2 linked regions of the Diceros bicornis minor genome follow. The protein of the gene in region 1 purifies or fractionates together with the protein of each later gene. This does not show direct contact. Links are inferred from orthologs where the notes say so. Each region holds a gene or a part of one and is shown in the gene's direction. Other genes may lie near its edges.

What was found.
Region 2: the proteins of SPAG9 (region 1) and RCCD1 purify together in Homo sapiens (affinity purification with mass spectrometry; 3 studies listed by BioGRID and IntAct, counting the BioPlex papers as one, with this or other methods). This does not show direct contact. The link is inferred for Diceros bicornis minor from reciprocal best matches to the Homo sapiens genes SPAG9 and RCCD1.

Annotation. Positions count from the first base shown.
Region 1 is NC_080757.1:35,322,114-35,330,961, forward strand, and holds the start of SPAG9 (C-Jun-amino-terminal kinase-interacting protein 4), read left to right. Parts: upstream 1-5,330; 5' UTR 5,331-5,437; coding exon 5,438-5,740; intron 5,741-8,848. UniProt on the Homo sapiens protein: The JNK-interacting protein (JIP) group of scaffold proteins selectively mediates JNK signaling by aggregating specific components of the MAPK cascade to form a functional JNK signaling module.
Region 2 is NC_080744.1:93,957,712-93,966,405, reverse strand, and holds the start of RCCD1 (RCC1 domain-containing protein 1), read left to right. Parts: upstream 1-4,793; 5' UTR 4,794-4,798; coding exon of another isoform or gene 4,799-4,856; intron 4,857-4,879; exon of another isoform or gene 4,880-5,115; intron 5,116-5,123; exon of another isoform or gene 5,124-5,585; intron 5,586-5,707; exon of another isoform or gene 5,708-5,737; intron 5,738-6,189; 5' UTR 6,190-6,311; coding exon 6,312-6,486; intron 6,487-6,572; coding exon 6,573-6,969; intron 6,970-7,151; coding exon 7,152-7,273; intron 7,274-8,694. Other genes in the region: UNC45A (protein unc-45 homolog A), read left to right, coding at 316-456, 659-786, 1,004-1,070, 1,531-1,644, 1,863-1,978, 2,847-2,964, 3,072-3,227, 3,378-3,635. UniProt on the Homo sapiens protein: Plays a role in transcriptional repression of satellite repeats, possibly by regulating H3K36 methylation levels in centromeric regions together with KDM8.

The DNA of each region.
Region 1 (8,848 bases):
TGGGCCGCCAGTAGCGGAGCCCTGGCACTTAACCGCTAAGCCACGGGGTCGGCCCTGCACCAACTTCTTAAAGATGGTAGATTTCAGGAGTGATGTTTTGGGTCCTTGAGACCTTCCTTCAAAACCGTATACACAAACTAATTAGCATTTAGAAAAATTGGACAGTTTCCTGTTTTTTTTTTGCTAGGAAAGATTCACTCTGAGCTAATATCTGTTGCAAATCTCCCCCCAACCTTTTTTTTGCTTCCCAGAGCCCCAGTATATAGTTGTATATTTTAAAGCCCTTCTAGTTCTCCTGTGTGAGCCACCGCCACATCATGGCTACTGACAGGGGAGTGGTGTGGTTCCGTGCCCGGGAACTGACTTGTGCTGCAAAAGCAAAGTGTGCCGAACTTTAACCACTAGGCTGTCAGGGCTTGCTTGACAGTTTCTTCTCATCCTCTTTCCTTTCTCAGCATGACTGTTAATAAATGTATCAAAATTAATTTCTAAACTACAATGGATTTGCAATGTCATCCTCAATGAAATCTATTTAAAGACTCTTTTGGAAATGGGGTCCAGGTTTGTCTGATGTTTCCTAAAATACCTTTCTTTTTTCTTTTTTTTAAATTTATTGTGGTAACATTGGTTTATAACATTATATAAATTTCAGGTATACATCATTATATTTTGATTTCTGTGTAGATTACATCATGTTGACAACCCAAAGACTAATTACAATCAATCTAATCTATACTTTTCTTATCTATTTACTTAGGAGACTCAAGTGAGGGAGTAGGGAGACAAAATTCAGGTTTCTTGCTAACGAGTTTCATCGGATGCTTACTTGCTTCAGAGAAAACAAGTCCTCTTGCACTTGACACCTTTCCCACAGAGACAGTGAAGACTTCCTGGATCACCTTATAGATTGTTAAATGTTAACCATGTGTGTGGCCAGCCCCATGGCAAAGTGGTTAAGTGAGCGTGCTCCACTGCTGGTGGCCTGGGTTCGGATCCCAGGCGTGGACCGATGCACCCGTTGTCAGGCCACGCCGTAGCGGTGTCCCACATAAAGTAGAGGAAGATCGGCAGGGATGTTAGCTCGCGGTCAATCTGCCTCAGCAAAAAGAGGAGGATTGGCATGGATGTTAGCTCAGGGCTGATCTTCCTCACACACACACACAAAAATGTTAACCATGTGATATCTGGGAGATGGCATTACCTGAGTGATTTTAATTTTCCTCTCTGTGCTTTTCTGTATTTAGCAAATTTTCTACAGTAAGTATGCATTTCGTCTATAATTGGGGAAAAAATCCAACCAACTCACTGTTTTGAAAACATATCTTTTATTCCCAGAGTGAGATTCGGCTCAATGTGTAAAAAATATACTGAGAGTTGGGTGATGGGCCTCCTCTTCTTCCACTCCACTCAAGTCAGATGGAGGTAGGGAGAAAATAGACCTGAACACGAATATGACCAATATACCTTGGGCCCATCAAAAATAGCCTCAGATACTGGGATTCTTGCTTCAGCAATATGTTCAGCCTCCTCATCTTAGAGGCAATTTCTGGTAGTCCAAAGTTCTGAGGGGAGGGGGAGAAGAGGGGGTTCCAAGGAAATAGCTCTTGTCTAGAGGGTTTCTTGCAACTTGAACCTGGACATATTTATCCATTGTATCCTGACACCTTAAAAAGGCTTTCAAAGGGAAAACTGAGGGCTCAGAAAAATCCTCCGGCACTTTTCAAGAGTCCCGGATTCCACAGCTAGACTGCCTCACCAAGCACGTTCTAGTTTGGATGGGGTGATGAATCACTTATCATTTCACACCGCCATAAGTGGAGGGCCTTGTGCACTGGGAGCCCTCTTTTCCCTTCCTCTCTCAGCAACCGTCTCTCCCCATGTGGGAAAATGTAGTTTGTGAAACCAGACAAACTGATTCACATAGAAATAACTGTAAAAGTTCCAGAAGGCTAGACAAATAACAGGACCAGTAATTTCAGTGTTCCAGTGATTATAGTTATTGTGCTTAGGAAAAAACTCCTCCCTTCCTGCCCTCATCAACTCCTCCCCTCTGCTGCCCCATTACTGTCCTCACTATTTTTGCAAGGCCAAAGAATCTCTCGAAACGGAATTTCCTTCCTTTTAGGAATCAAGAGTAAACATTTACCCTGCAGTCCACAATATGACCTGTTTTCCTGAATGACTCTTAGTCTTTAACAATAATCTTGGCCCTTGGGGTTAGAGGTGGGTGCTGGGGATTTATCCAGGCAGTTGAGCATAAGAAGTAGTATTACCGCCTACATAATTAGGAGTCGACTAACGCAACTCAGTCTCAAGGCCCTGTCTCCTTTCACTCCCACCTACAAACGAGAATCATAGGATTTTAGAATTGCAAGCAATCTTCATAGATTCGGTAACACACCTCTTCACTATCCAGATGAAGAAGCTCAGGCTCACAGTCCTTAGCGCAGTGCCTGGCACCGAGTAGTACTGAGTAACTATTTACTTTTTTGTTTCTGGCCTAAGTTTTTTCAAAATGACCAGTCCATACTAGAATACAAGGTTCTCACTTTATAATTTTATTTATTTATTTATTTATTTCCCCAAAGCCCAGTAGATAGTTGTATGTCAAGCTGCACATCCTTCTAGTTGCTGTTTGTGGGACGTGGCCTCAGCATGGGCGGAGAAGCGGTGCCTCAGTGCGTGCCAGGGATCGAACCCTGGGCCACCAGCAGCAGAGCGCGCGCACTTAACCGCTAAGCCAAGGGGCCGGCCCAGGTTCTCACTTTAAACGCTGTTTTGTTTCCATTCTATCTCACCGAGTTAAGTGCTTCCATTTGGGTTTACTATAAACTCATTATAGCCAAAAATTTTATTTTTTAACAGCTTTATTGAGATACAATTCACATATCATACAATTCACCAATTTAAAGTGTACAATTCAATGGTTTTTAGTATATTCAGAGTCGTGTATCTATCACCACAATCAATTTTAGAGCATTTTCATTACCTCCCCAAGAAACCCCATACCCATTAGCAATCACCCTTCTTTTCTCTCATTCCTCCAGTCAGCCCTAGGCAACCACTGATCTTTTTTTTTTTTTTCCCCCTTGTCTCCCCAAAGCCCCAGTAGATAGTTGTTGATAGTTGCACATCCCTCTAGTTGCTGTATGTGGGACTCCGCCTCAGCGTGGCCAGACAAGCAGTGCGCCGGTGCACGCCTGGGATCTGAACCCAGGCCACCAGTAGCAGAGCGCGCGCACTCAACGGCTAAGCCACGGGGCTGGCCCTACCACTGATCTTTCATACATGGCTCTTTGTGACTGGTTGCTTTTACCTAGCATAATATATTCAGGATTCATCTATGTTGTGGCATGTACTTCATTCTTTGTATTGCGGAATAATAAATATTCTGTTAGATGCATACACCATATTTTTTAAATCTATTCAACAGTTGATGGGCATATGGCTGAATTTTAAACAATTAAATGTGATCTCTGATAGCAGAAGCTTAAAATCAAGACATAAATATATATCTCATATCTATGTTGAATTTAAAGAAGCATACTTATTATGAAGACTTTATTATAATCTCATACCTGAAAATAAAGACATTTTTTATCTAAATTTTCTTATGTATATAATATTGTGGAAAGACAAAGTAAAGCTTTGTCCTAAGTTTTCCTGTTCCTCTGAATCCCAGCAAAATAGAGGCATATATATATAGGTAGATTGCCTCAGAAACAGCCCTCAGGAAGAGAAAAAAGAAGAGAAAACAAAGATCCAGAGGAAGACCCTTTTTTCTGGTTTTCAAATGTGAGGTTTAGAAGAGAAAGGGCATTTGGGGCTCACACCCAACTAGCTGATCCGCATTCCTGAAACCCTGACACACACACAAACAATATAAAGGTGGATGTGGGGTGATGGTGAGAAAGGGGACAGTACAGGCCGCAAATTCATTCCCATTTGACATCATAAGGCTTAGCACGTTCATTTTTGTCCTTCTGAGTTTATAGATTGGCCCTCGCCCAACCTCCATCCTGTTCTTGTGGGTCTCCAGGTGGGTCCAGATTGGGAGACTTCGGAGGACTAGCTACTGCTTGGTAGGAAGAAGATGAACTTGTAAACATCACGTTGAGGGTATTTATGATCCCAGGAGGTGGCCGATTCCCCCGCTAAACCCTTGTCTATCCAAGTCCTGCCTTCCCTCCCCCTATTCTTAGAGGAACCGGGGCCGCAGAACTCTTGAGTCACCTGCCGCGGAAAGAAGGGGCTTTTGGGAGTGTCTTCCGCTCCGTTTGCAGAGGCTAGATGAGAACACCGGGAAGCGATCCTTGACTCAGCCCGCCTGAGGCTTGGGTGTTGTGTCATTCCCCACACGTGATGCTTTTCCAGGCGGCGGATACCTCACGCATCATGGGACTTATTCACCCCAGTGACTCCACCCCTTTCCTCCTCTACTCCTCAACCCCCTTCTTGCCTCCTCCGCCCCCCTTCAAGACGAGAAGATAAGAGGGTGGCTGGAGGCAGGAAATGCCACTCTCCCAGGCTGGCCAGGAGAAGCAGAGAAAACCCCGAGTTTGGGAAGGTGCGAGACGTGGAGTTACAGTTTTACCCTTCTCCAGAATGCTTTGCACTTCCTCTGTTTTAGGCTATCGTTACTCTCATTATCCCCAGATAGTTCCATCCTATTTGAGACCACCTTATCACTTAGGTAGACCTGGTTTTAGTTAAGGTTTCCCCACTTTCCTCTGACCCCGGAATTCTCAGTCAGAACTGGTCTGAGTCCCCGATCAGCTTTCTTCCCGTTCTAGCCGTGTGACCTTGAGTGAACCACAACTTCTCCGAGCCTACTCTCCATGTCTGGGAAACGCAGGCGAAACGTCTACCGCACCACGCCTGTTGCGCGGAACAAATGAGAAAGTCCTTGTGAGCTGTAAAAAGCAACAGAAGTTAGCTACGTTAATTCTGGACGTGTAGTCACTCTTGCAGAACCCTTCCCTTTCCTTTGGGACCCGCCCTGCAAATCCCGCCTCGTGCTGACAGTTGTCGCCACCCTCCTGTCGCCGTTTTTCCCATTGGCGAACGCACTGTACGCGCGGCGCCGAGTGTTGACGTCACGGCCCCTGCCGGCGCACGATGACGTATTGGCCCCGCCCCGGCCGCTCCTTACCTCCCGCGGGGCCCCGCCCATCGGGCCGACGCGGCGCGAGTCCCGCCCCGCGGGTGACGTGTGCGCGTGAGGCCCGGCCGCCCCGGCAGTTGGTGCAGCGGCGGTTGGGCTGAGGGCGCTTACCCCACCCCTCCCCTCCTCCGGCCCGGGCTCCCACCCCGCCGGGCCCAGCCCCGGCCCTAGCCCCAACCCTAGCCCGAGCCCGAGCCGGGCCCGTCCCGTGCGGGCCCGTGCCGCCCCCTCAGCCGGCGACGCCCCGGGCCGCCCGCCCGCCTGCCCGCCACCATGGAGCTGGAGGACGGTGTGGTGTACCAGGAGGAGCCCGGCGGCTCTGGGGCCGTGATGTCGGAGCGGGTGTCCGGCCTGGCCGGCTCCATCTACCGCGAGTTCGAGCGGCTCATCGGGCGCTACGACGAGGAGGTGGTCAAGGAGCTGATGCCACTGGTGGTGGCCGTGCTGGAGAACCTGGACTCGGTGTTCGCGCAGGACCAGGAGCACCAGGTGGAGCTGGAGCTGCTGCGGGACGACAACGAGCAGCTCATCACCCAGTACGAGCGGGAGAAGGCGCTGCGCAAGCACGCCGAGGAGGTGAGGGCCGGCCGGCCGGCGGGGAGGGCGGGGGCCGGGCCCGAGGGCGGGCCGGGGGCCAGGGGTCGCGGGTCGCGGCCGGGCCTGGCCCGGGAGGGGGGTGCGCCGGGCCTCCTAGGGGCGGGCCTGAGGCCGAGGCCCCCCGACTGAGTCCGGAGGCCGAGAGGTCCCCGGGACCCCCGGCCCGCGTCGGAAGCCGAGGCGGACGAGTGAGTGTCCAGGAGAAGGGAGTGAGATGGGGGAGGCAGGGCCCGGGGAGGAAGCCACAGCCTGGCATGAGGGCACCTGGGGTTGGCTGAGGGCAGAGATTTTAGGATGTCTGGTCGCCTCTTGTAGTTTAGGGAAGCTTCCGACCACCGTAGGATAGTCAGATGGTGGTTCAAACTTTTACCACGACGAGGGGGGGGTGGTGGTGGCATTTAAATATGTATGTAACTTCCGCTGCTTCCAGTACCTTTCCAGGGGGTTGCTGCTTTGGGAAGTTAGAGATCTCCCTCTTTCGGTCAGTTTCTTTTTGATGTTTTAACGCTGTTGAAACAGAGGTTTAATTTTATGTTTTGTATGCCTTGGTTGACACTTTGTCAACACTTAGGTGTTGTAAAGCAATACTCTGTAAATATGGAGAGTATACAACTTTATTTTATGTATCCCACAGCAAAGCATTCCTCCATATCAGGTGGTAACCTTGGACAGTTCCCTTTAAAAACTCTATTTATAAAGAGGACGGGGCGAGGGGCGGGCGGGTTTGAGGAGGTTGTAGGTGACTGCTGGCAACCCATTTCAGACTGCAGTTTACAGGTGCATTTGGCCGGCTCTCAACTCTAGCACCTCAGCAGTGATCTCTGTGCCCTCCCCTCAAGTCTGTGAACCTTTTGGAGCTCTGCGGTGCAGGTGGTCGGTCTTGGACATCTTGAGACAGTCAAGGATTTTAGCTTTCAGGCTGTGTTGGCATTATTTCTGTAGAACTTACCTAATGCAAGTGAAGTGTCCTGTTCATCTTTGTTTCTTGAGCGTGTAGTACACCTGGTGTCTAAATACATGGTGATTGAAGGGAACTAAATGACTAATTATTGAAGGAATGACATGTTCTCTTTCAAAAATACTTGAAAAGTTTTTGGAATGTGAGATTTGTTTCGCAGCTCATTTCCTAACACTAAATAGTACCACCGTTTAAACTTTTTGTCACATAGACCTTTGTACCAGGTCAAATAGTTCTTTTTCAAGCTTTACTGTAGTGATGATTTTTAGTTCTGATTTTGTGAGTCATTTGACTTAAAGGAATGCTGTTATATTTGCCAAACAAAATTGACTTTATTTCAAGAGTATTTCGAAGTATATAGGGAAGGAGGGGTTGAAAAAAATCTAAGGATGGGATCACAATTTCCACTAGTTTAATAGCACGATTTATAGAACAGAGGTCATGTACTGCTTCTGAGAGGGCATGCCATATCTTCATGCCCACACAGGCCCTTGCCAGTGTGTGGATGTACATGGAAAAGACTGGGGAATTAACCACATATACACACAGGTGAGGAGCAGGCCCAGCATGACCTATCACCTGGGGTAAAAGAAATGCTCCCTCCAGCCTTCAACTCCTGTGAGTTCATATAAACATGGGCAAAATGCCAAGGTCACACGTGCCAGGAAAACCATCTGCCACAGGTTGCAGAATCAGAAAATAAAACTGACTAACTGCTGGGCTCTGGGTTATATATTAATTTCGTAAATAAATAACTTTTTAAACATGGGTTATCCAGTGACTTCCTTTGTAATTTATACTTTTTCAAACACATCTATAAATTCTCTCTAATGAAACCTTTTGGCAAAGGGCCATGACCTGAGAATAGAGAACATTGATGAAACGCTAGATGAGCCAACTCCCAGACCACAAACATAAAACCACCTTGTTATCAGTCTTCAAGTAAGATCATAAATCAAGTTTTACCCAGTACCCAGAAATTCATTCTCTCTTAGGCCAATATGCAGAGGTGAATTCTGTGTTTAATTTTCTGTGAGTGCTTTGTTTGTGGCCTTTAATATGGAAACTAAGAGTCTGCTATTAGAGCAAAAGTGCCTCAGGGCATTTACAGCATAAGTATTTGAAAGTATGTAAATGGTCCATCCCCAGAAAGTGTAAAGTAAATTCTAAGCACCTTTGTGGAAATTTAGGAGGGTATGTGAATGGTGAGAATGTTTTAGGAGGTGTGAAGTGCTATAATCTCTTGCTTGCCGGAATTCTCAACAAGAAATCAGAAACTTAATCTTTATTATAATAATATTACTTAATTTGAATACCTTCTGTCTTCTTCTTTGCTTTTATGTGAATGTTTTTGTGTAGAATTAGCCTGCTGTTTTTGTGAGTCTTTAAAAACAACCTAAAGGAGGGCTAATTTTAGGTGGGTTTGTGACCAGTTTCAAATGCTAATCAGGAAATCTTCATCCTGTTGCTCACCTCTCTTCTCTTTGGGCTCTCTACTCCAGCCAGATGTCTTTCCATTCCTTAAGCAAGTCTTGTCTGATGCCTTCGCCCATGCTGTTCCCTTGGCCTACTATGCTTTTCTCTCAGAGCTTCACCTTTTCTAGCTTCTCACTTTCGGCTCAGCTTAAATTTCACTTCTTCATCTAGACCTTGCCTGTCTACTCTATCCACAGTAAGCCCTGCGAATCTATGAATAATTTATTTGTAAATCAGTGATTTTTAAAAACAAAAATCTGGATAGAAAATGATCTGGAGAGAGGTGTTATTCTTGGGAAGAATATGTGTTTTTTTATGTTCTGTTTGTGCAAATTCTTTTAAAATAGACATGATTTGCTTTGAGTAATTAGAAAAAAAAGGAAAACTTCCCTGATAAGTAGGCAAATGAGTTGAAGAACGTTTTTCACAGGAGTTTAGTTCCAAGTGATTCTTTGGGCCTTGTTTGTTGTCACCATTATTTTCATTTTGTTTTATTATTATGTTTTTTGTGTGAGGAAGATCAGCCCTGCGCTAACATCCATGCCAGTCCTCCTCTTTTTGCTGAGGAAGACTGGCCCTGGGCTAACATCCGTGCCCATCTTCCTCTACTTTATGTGGGATGCCGCCACAGCATGGCTTGCCAAGCGGTGCGT
Region 2 (8,694 bases), on another chromosome or scaffold:
TAGGATTAGAGCTTACCTGGCTTTCTTGGCAGGTCTTGGCCAGTGGCTTTTGTGGCCCGAGTGGCCGCTCTGGGTGGCGTGGGCAGACTGGCCTGCACCAGCAGTGTCAGAAAAGACTGTCTCTTTGGTGGAGTTGGAGGTCAAGTGTGTGAGCTCCCAAAGGCCGGGGGCAGGCGGGGGCCTGGGGAGGTTTCCAGATTCATCCTGGTGCCCAGGTGGTCCAGTGAGGGTAGAACTGGGGGCCTGGGCAGCATTTATCCCAGTGCTGCTCTGCCCCCTGGGATGGCTGACTGACTGCCCCTCTGCTCCTGGCAGTCCGAGGAGAGGTCAGTGCTCTTTGCGGTGGCTTCGGCACTGGTGAACTGCACCAACAGCTATGACTACGAGGAGCCCGACCCCAAGATGGTGGAGCTGGCCAAGTATGCCAAGCAGCATGTGCCTGAGCAGCACCCGAAGGTGAGGGGGCCGCTAGGAGGGGTTTGGGGGTTTCTGTATCACTGGGACCGGTTGACCTGGTGCATCCAGAGCAGATGAATCTTCTGTTTAAGCGGGTTTCTTGCCCTTTGTTCTCATGTTCATCAATTTGTGCTGTGAAGAGGGTCCCCCTTTCCCTGTCTAGTCAGCCGAGGCCCCTCTGTTAAGCTGCCTGCCTCCCCAGGACAAACCAAGTTTCGTGCGGGCTCGGGTGAAGAAGCTGCTGGCAGCAGGCGTGGTGTCAGCCATGACGTGCATGGTGAAGACCGAAAGCCCTGTGCTGACGAATTCCTGCCGAGAGCTGCTCTCCAGGTGAGCCTGCCTCAGCGGAGCCAGACCTTCCCAGCTCTTGAGCCTTGAGGCTGCCGATGTAGCCACAGAGGGAGCAGGTCCTGGTGCTGTGGGCCTCCTAGAGCAGCGGTGCCACACGCTTGGCTGCCTTCCTTCACCGAGCGTAGAAGTGGAGTGTCTACCTGCCAGGGCCCCGGCCCCACTCACCCACCACCCCACTACCGCCCTCTCTCTGCAGGGTCTTCCTGGCGTTGGTGGAAGAGGTGGAGGACCGCGGCACTGTGGTTGCTCAGGGAGGGGGCAAGGTAAGCTGGCTTACAGACTCCTTCCTGATGGTCCACAAGACATGACTCAGTGGCTGCCACACCAGAGATTAGTTTTAGATGTGGGATGGGAAACATTATTAGTGACCGGCAGGAACATCTTCCTGCTGAGAGAGGGATGCTGACGGGGCGGGTTCATTGGAGCCCCCGGCACTTTGTGCCTGTTAAGGTCCTGAGCTCTCCCCCTTTCCCTGTGTCGTTGACCTCCATGGCCCCAGCACCGGCACAATCCATGGCTAGCCCTTCCTAGGTGTTTCAGGAAGTGTTTGGGTAGCTTAATGAGAGACCTCAGAGAGGTGGAGAGGGTCTGAGCGGGGAGTGTTGTCAAGCCTGAGGAGAGAGGAGGAGAAAGGTGCGGGTGGACAGTCAGAGCTCAGGGCCTGCTGGTTCGGGCCTTACGCTCCCGGGCACATCCTGGACACGGACGGGCTTGTCCCTACAGGCTCTGCTCCCGCTGGCCCTGGAAGGCACTGACGTGGGGCAGACAAAGGCAGCCCAGGCTCTCGCCAAGCTCACCATCACCTCCAACCCAGAGATGACCTTTCCTGGCGAGCGGGTACGTGTCTTCCTGCCCCAGCCCTGGCCTCCACCCCCTCACTGGGCCCTGATGGTCTCTGACCTGGGCTGTGGCTCCTCCGTGGGTTCAATAGGAAGTGGCAGCTTTGCTGAGCCCTAGGGTGGGGAGGGCAGCCTTCTCTCAGGGGGTGGACCCCCGCCTGTGGGCTCGGTGGGGACTGGGCTGAGTAGCCCTGACAGGTGGGGTGCATGTCACAGATCTATGAGGTGGTCCGGCCCCTTGTCTCCCTGTTGCACCTCAACTGCTCAGGGCTGCAGAACTTCGAGGCGCTCATGGCTCTAACAAACCTGGCGGGCATCAGTGAGAGGCTCCGGTAAGGTCCCCTGGGACATGGGGCCCAGGTAGGGAGGGCATCAGGGTTTAGATTATCCCCAGTAAAGCACTTGACAGTTTGGAAAGCACTCTTCGGTCATGGCTTTATTTGAGCCTCACAGTGAGTCCTCTGTGTCATCCAGCTGAGGACACAGGCCAGGCGGTTTGATTTGGACAGCGCTCCCTGAGAGAGCACATCACTGGGCAGTAACAGTGCCAGCTCTGGAGTCAGACCATCTGGGTTCAAATCCTGGCTTCACTGGGTACCAGGGTGTAACCTCAAACAAGTTACATAACCACTCTGTGCCTCAGTTTCCCCCTCTGAAATGGGATGGTTATAGTAGTTACCTCATGGAGTTGTAGTGAGGAGAATTAAATGAGAAAATACATGTAAAAGCACTTAGTGCATAGGTACCTGGCTCCTAGCGATGTGCCCAGTCGATGCATATTAGCTATTACTACTAGTGGTGACCCTGGGCACATTACTCACTACTTAGCCTTGGTTTCTTCTTTTGCAAAATAGTCATGCTGATCACACCTGCACTGTCACCACAAGGCTGTGGTGAGGATTGAGTAAGGTAGTCCAAGTGCTGGGTCAGGGGAAGTGCTTAAATGTTCGGTGTTAGCATCACCATCACCACCACCCTGGTCTCCTAACTCCTGGTTGAAAGCATTCCACGCCCCATGCCATCTCCTAGGCCTGGGTAGAAGGCTGGAAACCCCTGCAGTTCATACCTGGTGCAGGAGGGCCTTTGGACATTGCCCAGAGAAATCCTCAGCCCAGGGCTCGGTTGTATGGGGATATGGGGGTGGGGGCAGTGGATGCAGAGGCTCTGACGATGCTGAGCCTTCCACCCTCGGCCCTGCAGGCAGAAGATCCTGAAGGAGAAGGCTGTGCCCATGATTGAGGGCTACATGTTTGAGGAGCATGAGATGATCCGCCGGGCAGCCACGGAGTGCATGTGTAACTTGGCCATGAGCAAGGAGGTGAGGGCTGGTCCAGGCGGTCATGGTGGGCAGCCTTGCAGAAATATCTGTGCCCTGGCTGGGCTTTGCCTCAGCTGACTCAGTCCACGCCCCTCATCTGGCCACAGGTGCAGGACCTCTTTGAAGCCAAGGGCAATGACCGGCTGAAGCTGCTGGTGCTGTACAGTGGAGAGGATGATGAGCTGCTCCGGCAGGCGGCTGCGGGGGGCCTGGCCATGCTCACTTCCATGCGGCCCTCGCTCTGCAGCCGCATCCCCCAAGTGGTCAGTGCCTCTTCTTGGCAGGGGAGGCGAGGTGGGCCAGGACCCCCCAGCATGGTGGCAGTTGGTGGGGGAAGTCCCAGGGTGTGCGAGTGTGTTCCCTGCCAAGGTTTAGCCTGTTGCTCAGTGGTCACACAGCCCTGTTTCCTGCAGACCACACATTGGCTGGAGATCCTGCAGGCCCTGCTTCTGAGCCCCAACCAGGAGCTGCAGCACCGGGGCGCTGTGGTGGTGTTGAACATGGTGGAGGCCTCGAGAGAGATCGCTAGCACCCTGATAGAGAGCGAGGTGCTGGAGATCCTGTCCGTGCTGGCTAAGGGCAAGGAGAGCCCCATCACCAGGGCTGCTGCAGCCTGCCTAGAGAAAGCGGTGGAATATGGGCTTATCAAACTCAACCAGGATGGAGACTGAGGGGCTGCTAATGCACACGCTACCTGTCACAGCACAGGGAGCCAGGACAGACACGGCTTTTTGCTGGTGGGGGCTGGGATGCGGAACACTCTGGCCTCCTCTCTAGCTGCCCTTTGATGTCTTCTGTTCTGAGTCAGGGGCCACATTCAGTCACAGCCCTGCTCTGCCAGCACTGCCTGCAGCCTCACGCAGCAGGGCCCTTTCTGTACTACTGTAGACAGCTGGGGATGGGGAAGGTGCATCTGGACTCAGCCTGTGGATTCCTGCACTGGGAAGGGCACATCGAGCAGCCTCACCACCTTGAGCATCACCTGAGCCTCCTAGCAGGCCTGCCTCTGACTCTCTAATAAAAGTGTGTGGAACTCAAATGTGTGCCCTGTCTGTGGGCAGGGAGGGCAGGCCGTGAGCCCTGGTCTGGAGCAGGAGCGGGCTGTGGTGGAGCACAGCGGAGCTTTATGGCAGCAGCAGAGCCACCTCCACGGAAGGAATCTGATGGATTCCACCCAGAGCCCGCTGAGTTGCGTCCTAACCCTGTTGGAGGGTCAAGGGGTAAACCGAGGAAGCTGATCAATAAAAAACTATACAGTCGCCTGGAAAAATGGGTTTAGGGTACAGACTCCTAGATCCTGGCCCTTCAATACTTTGTCTTTGTATTGGGAGTTCTCAGTGACCTCCACTCAGGCGGTGCTCGGAGTTGGGGTTGGTGTGTCGCCCGGGCATGCCGTTCCCTCATGGAAAAACCTGCGAGAACTTCCCGCAGCTAAGCCGGGTGGGAGCGGGGGCGGGCGACCCCAAGTGCCCGCGCTGGACGTCCCGATAGCGGGCTCCGCCCAGCTTGAAGTTCATTGGATCGACAGAGATAAGTGGCAGGTCCCGAGCCAATGGAAGGTAAAACCCGCCGAGCGCCCGCTCAGGATGGCTGCTTCCTGTTGGGCGGCAGTCCTGCGCATGTCCAGTAGCGAGCTGCCGCGGTCCCAAGCCCAGGGGAGTGACGGGGAGGTGCCCTTTAGCTCAGCTCTGAATGTTCCCCAGGTGCTTCTAACTCGCGCTTCGCTGTCCCGCGAGTGCCTGTGGGGAGAGGGACCACCTGGTCCGACCTCTGCCCGGGCCCGCGCCCACCGGAAGTTTCACACCCGAGCCCGCGGCGGCCCAGTGTAGGCCTGATGACCGGCTCCACGCCCGTAGGACTGGACGGGCCGCAGCGGAGACTGCAGCCGCGAGGTGAGCAATGCCCCGCGGCCGCCCGCCCCGAGCGGTTACGTCACCCCCTCGCCGGCGATTGGCCCCGGGGAGGCTGCGGCAGCCAATGGGCGCCTCGCCCAGGGCGCGGCTCTTCAAACCTGTCCTCCCCGGCGGCTGTCAGCCAGGTCCTGGGCGGGAGACCCATTCCCGGGCGGCTGCTCTGCGCCCCGGCCTTTCCTTCCTCCAGATTGCCCATCGGAAGGAGCTGCCTGAAGGGGTGCACAGGGTGAAGATCAAGGTCAGAGGCCTCCTTGGGTTGGAATTGAACACGGGAGGGGTTAGGAGCCCAGGCCCGGGTCAAGGAGCTTTGGTCGAGGAAGAGACCCAGGATCTGACTTCAGAGGCTTGAAAATGCCTGTGGAATTCTGATCAAGCCAAACATGCTGTACGGAGAAAGCAGCGTTGCTGTTGTAACCACTAGACTTTGCGTCTTTCTCCCCATTTATGAGTGAGCTCCTTGGGGGCAGACAGCTGTTCTCATGGGTCCAGAGTAAGGGATCAATAAATGCTTGTAGAACGATTAAATGACTAGATGAGGTCCAGTTGAAATTATGTTTATCTAGATCCCTGAAAACCAGTAAGTACTAGTGGTCGTTTTTATCAACTCTAAGTACTGGATTTAATAAGCTAACACTTACAGTGCACTTATCATGGTATGTGCGTGCACTTGAACGCTTTGTTTGCATCTGTTCCAAACAATTCTACAAGGTAGGTACAAACACCACCCTCCCCTACACACCCCCCCCCCTTAGTAAAACTGAAGAAACTGAATTGGACCTAGAGAGCTTAAGTGAATTGGCTGAGGACACAAAGCTGCAGAGGCAAACGTCAACCCTGGAGCTGGTCGTGGCCCGTGCGGGGTACTGTCTCCCAACGCTCTGCTTTCCACTGGTGGGAAGAGCACTGTATGTGGAGTCGCTGGGCCTTGAGTTTGGCCCTCTGCCCCTCTTGGTCCTAAGCTGTGTGACTGTGTAAGGGTTACCTTCTCTGGGAGTCTCTTCTGTCAAATGGGGGCGATTCTAGTTCCCAAGACTGCTTGGGATAATGCGCCTGACACTGGGAATTTGGATCTGGAGGGGCTCGGATCCTAGTCCAACGCCCCAGGGAGAGGCCACTTAAATACCTCATGCTCCCTTTGTGGGACGCTGAGCTTGCTTGAGTCAAAAGGACAAGGAAGGTACCGGCTCTGGACAGCTCAGAATCTTCCTGAGTCTGCTAGGACGTTAGCCAAGGCTCCCGCCCACCGAACGTTTGTGTAATGGATATCGTCTACCTCTGTGGTGAGGAGAATGGTATTTTCCCCATTTTACAGGTAAGGCAGCTGCTGTGTCCCGTAAGGGGCTCATCTCCAAGAATCTCCTCCGGTTCTAGCCCTACCCTCCGTCCCGCCGCCACCCCAACCGGCGGGCGGCCAGCAGAGGGCGCTTTCAGGGCATGGCCGAGGAGCGCCCAGGCTCCTGGTTCGGCTTCGGTTTCCGCGGCTTCGGGCAGGCGCTGGGCTCGGGGCGCGGGCGCCAGGTTCACAGTCCCGAGCCGCTGCGGGCGCCGGGCGCGGGCCTCGACGTCTGCCGCGTGAGCGCCAGCTGGAGCTACACCGCCTTCGTGAGCCGTGAGCACCCCCCCCGCTCCCCCTTCCGGCCCCCGGCGCTGGTTTCGCGGCCCACGCCCTCTCCAGCGCGCTCTCCGCCCCCGCAGGTGGAGGCCAGGTGGAGCTGTCGGGCGCGGCGGGCGGAGCGGCGGGCGGCTGCAGAGACGCGTGGGCTTCGGAGGCGCTGCTCGTGGTGTTGCGCGCGGGGCCGGGCCCCGAGCCCGGGGCGGAGCTGCAGGCCTGGGAGCCCGGGTCTGCGCTGCGCGGGGAGCCCCTCTGGGTCAAGACTGTGGTGTCGGAGGCCGAGAGGGAATACGGACCGGACGGCAAGACCCAGGCTGGGCCGCTGCCCCTGCTGCCCTGCGCCCGCGCCTACGTGAGCCCGCGGCCGCCCTTCTACCGACCTCTGGCCCCGGAGCTGCGGGCGCGCCGGCTGGAGCTGGGCGCCGAGCACGCGTTGCTGCTGGACGCTACGGGCCAAGTGTTCTCCTGGGGCGGCGGCAGGTGAGTGGGGGTGTGGCCAGGTGTAGGCCAGCTAGGCTTTTTGCGGGGGGTGGGGGGGGTGGGGGCGGTTAAATGTAGCAGGAGTGGGAGATGAGCATATGGGGGCAGGTGAATGTGAATGGGGAGGGAAGGGGAGGGAGACCCTTTGATGTGTCTAGTTGACTAGCGTCTCCCTTGCTCAGGCATGGACAGCTGGGCCACGGGACTCTGGAGGCAGAGCTGGAGCCCAGGCTGTTGGAGGCGCTGCAGGGCCTGGCCATGGCTGAGGTGGCCGCAGGGGGCTGGCACTCTGTGTGTGTGAGTGGTGAGTGACCTAGGGCTTCTCTAAACCAGCTCAGGGTCTTGTTGGCTCCAACCCTTCCTCTTCCTTCCTCCTCCTCATCCAATTTTGCTGAGTGGCCTAGCCAGGCCTCCTTCCCAGCTCATCCCAGATCAGCCAGCCCAGTCATTCATGACTCCTAAATGCCACTCAGATTCAGTGCCTTTGCCACCGCCATCTCCCCTCACACGGGGGCTGCTGCAGGTGGTTCCTACCTGTCACTGGCCTCACTGGCCCTCCCATCCACCCGCCCCCAGCCAGAGCTATCTTTCTAAAATACTCCTTGAGGGGGCAGCCGAGCCAAGGAAAATGGAGAAGAAAGGCTGCAGTTGCCCACATGCCATGATGTGTGGCACACAGTAGGCACTCACATCCCCACAGGGAGGAAGATGGTGGTGAGTGTGTGGCCTGCTGTTGTGCCCAGAATGAGGAGTTTCACTTTAAATTGTGTTGAGGCCCCCACCCTGGCAGGTGATCCAGGTGCAGCTGTTCCTAGGCTGTTGGGGGGTGCTGGGAGCAGATGAGCTTTGCAAGGATCTGCATCTGGAGCTTTGGCTGCCACTTACATCACGAGGGTGCTTTCAAAACTACCTGTGCCTGCACTCTCTTCTCATGTTCTCAGGTAATGGGCCTGGGTTGACAGCCAGGCTCGAGAACTCCTGGGCTAGAGGGAAAAGAAGGGTGGGCTGGAAACAGCCCAGTGGGAAGTCTCACACTAAGGAGGAGGAATTTGAAGCCTTGAGTTGGGTATGGTGGTTGAGCACAGATGCTTCAAACCAGGCTTCCTAGGTTCAAAGCATCACTCTGCCCCTTGTGACCTCAGGCAGAACACTAACCTCTTCATGCCTCAAGTTGTCTTGTAAATAAAATGGGAATATTGTGTAAAATTGGGATATTGTCATATAACCCCCTGTAGAGCTGTTATGAGAATTAAATGATTATATTTGCAAAGTGCTTAAAACATTGGCACAGATTAAACACTTGATAAAAATGAGCTACTGTTGTTAGTGAACTTTTAGCATTAGGGCTGTTGTTCCAGCCAACAAACTGTAGTGTTGTGGGAGGCGAGAAAGGTGCGAGCTTCAGCAGGAGGCTTCAGCAGGACCAGTGGTGAGTGGGGCTGAATAAAGGGCCATGGGCTCAGTGGATTTGAAAAGGAGCCTGTTGGGGAACTTCCAGGGATACATTTCCGAAGTGTGTGTGGTAGGAGGTGGAGAGGGGGGCAATTTAGCAACAAAGGGGAAAAGTGAAAATGGAGTGGAATGTCCAGTGAGAGACTTCCTTTAAAGAAAAGAGTGACCAGAAGGCACTTGGTGGGGAGGGAACCTGTGACGACCAGGAAGCTGCCGGCTCGAGGGAGGCACTCTGGAGGGCAAACTTGGCAGGGCAGGCCTTAGTTGTCCCCA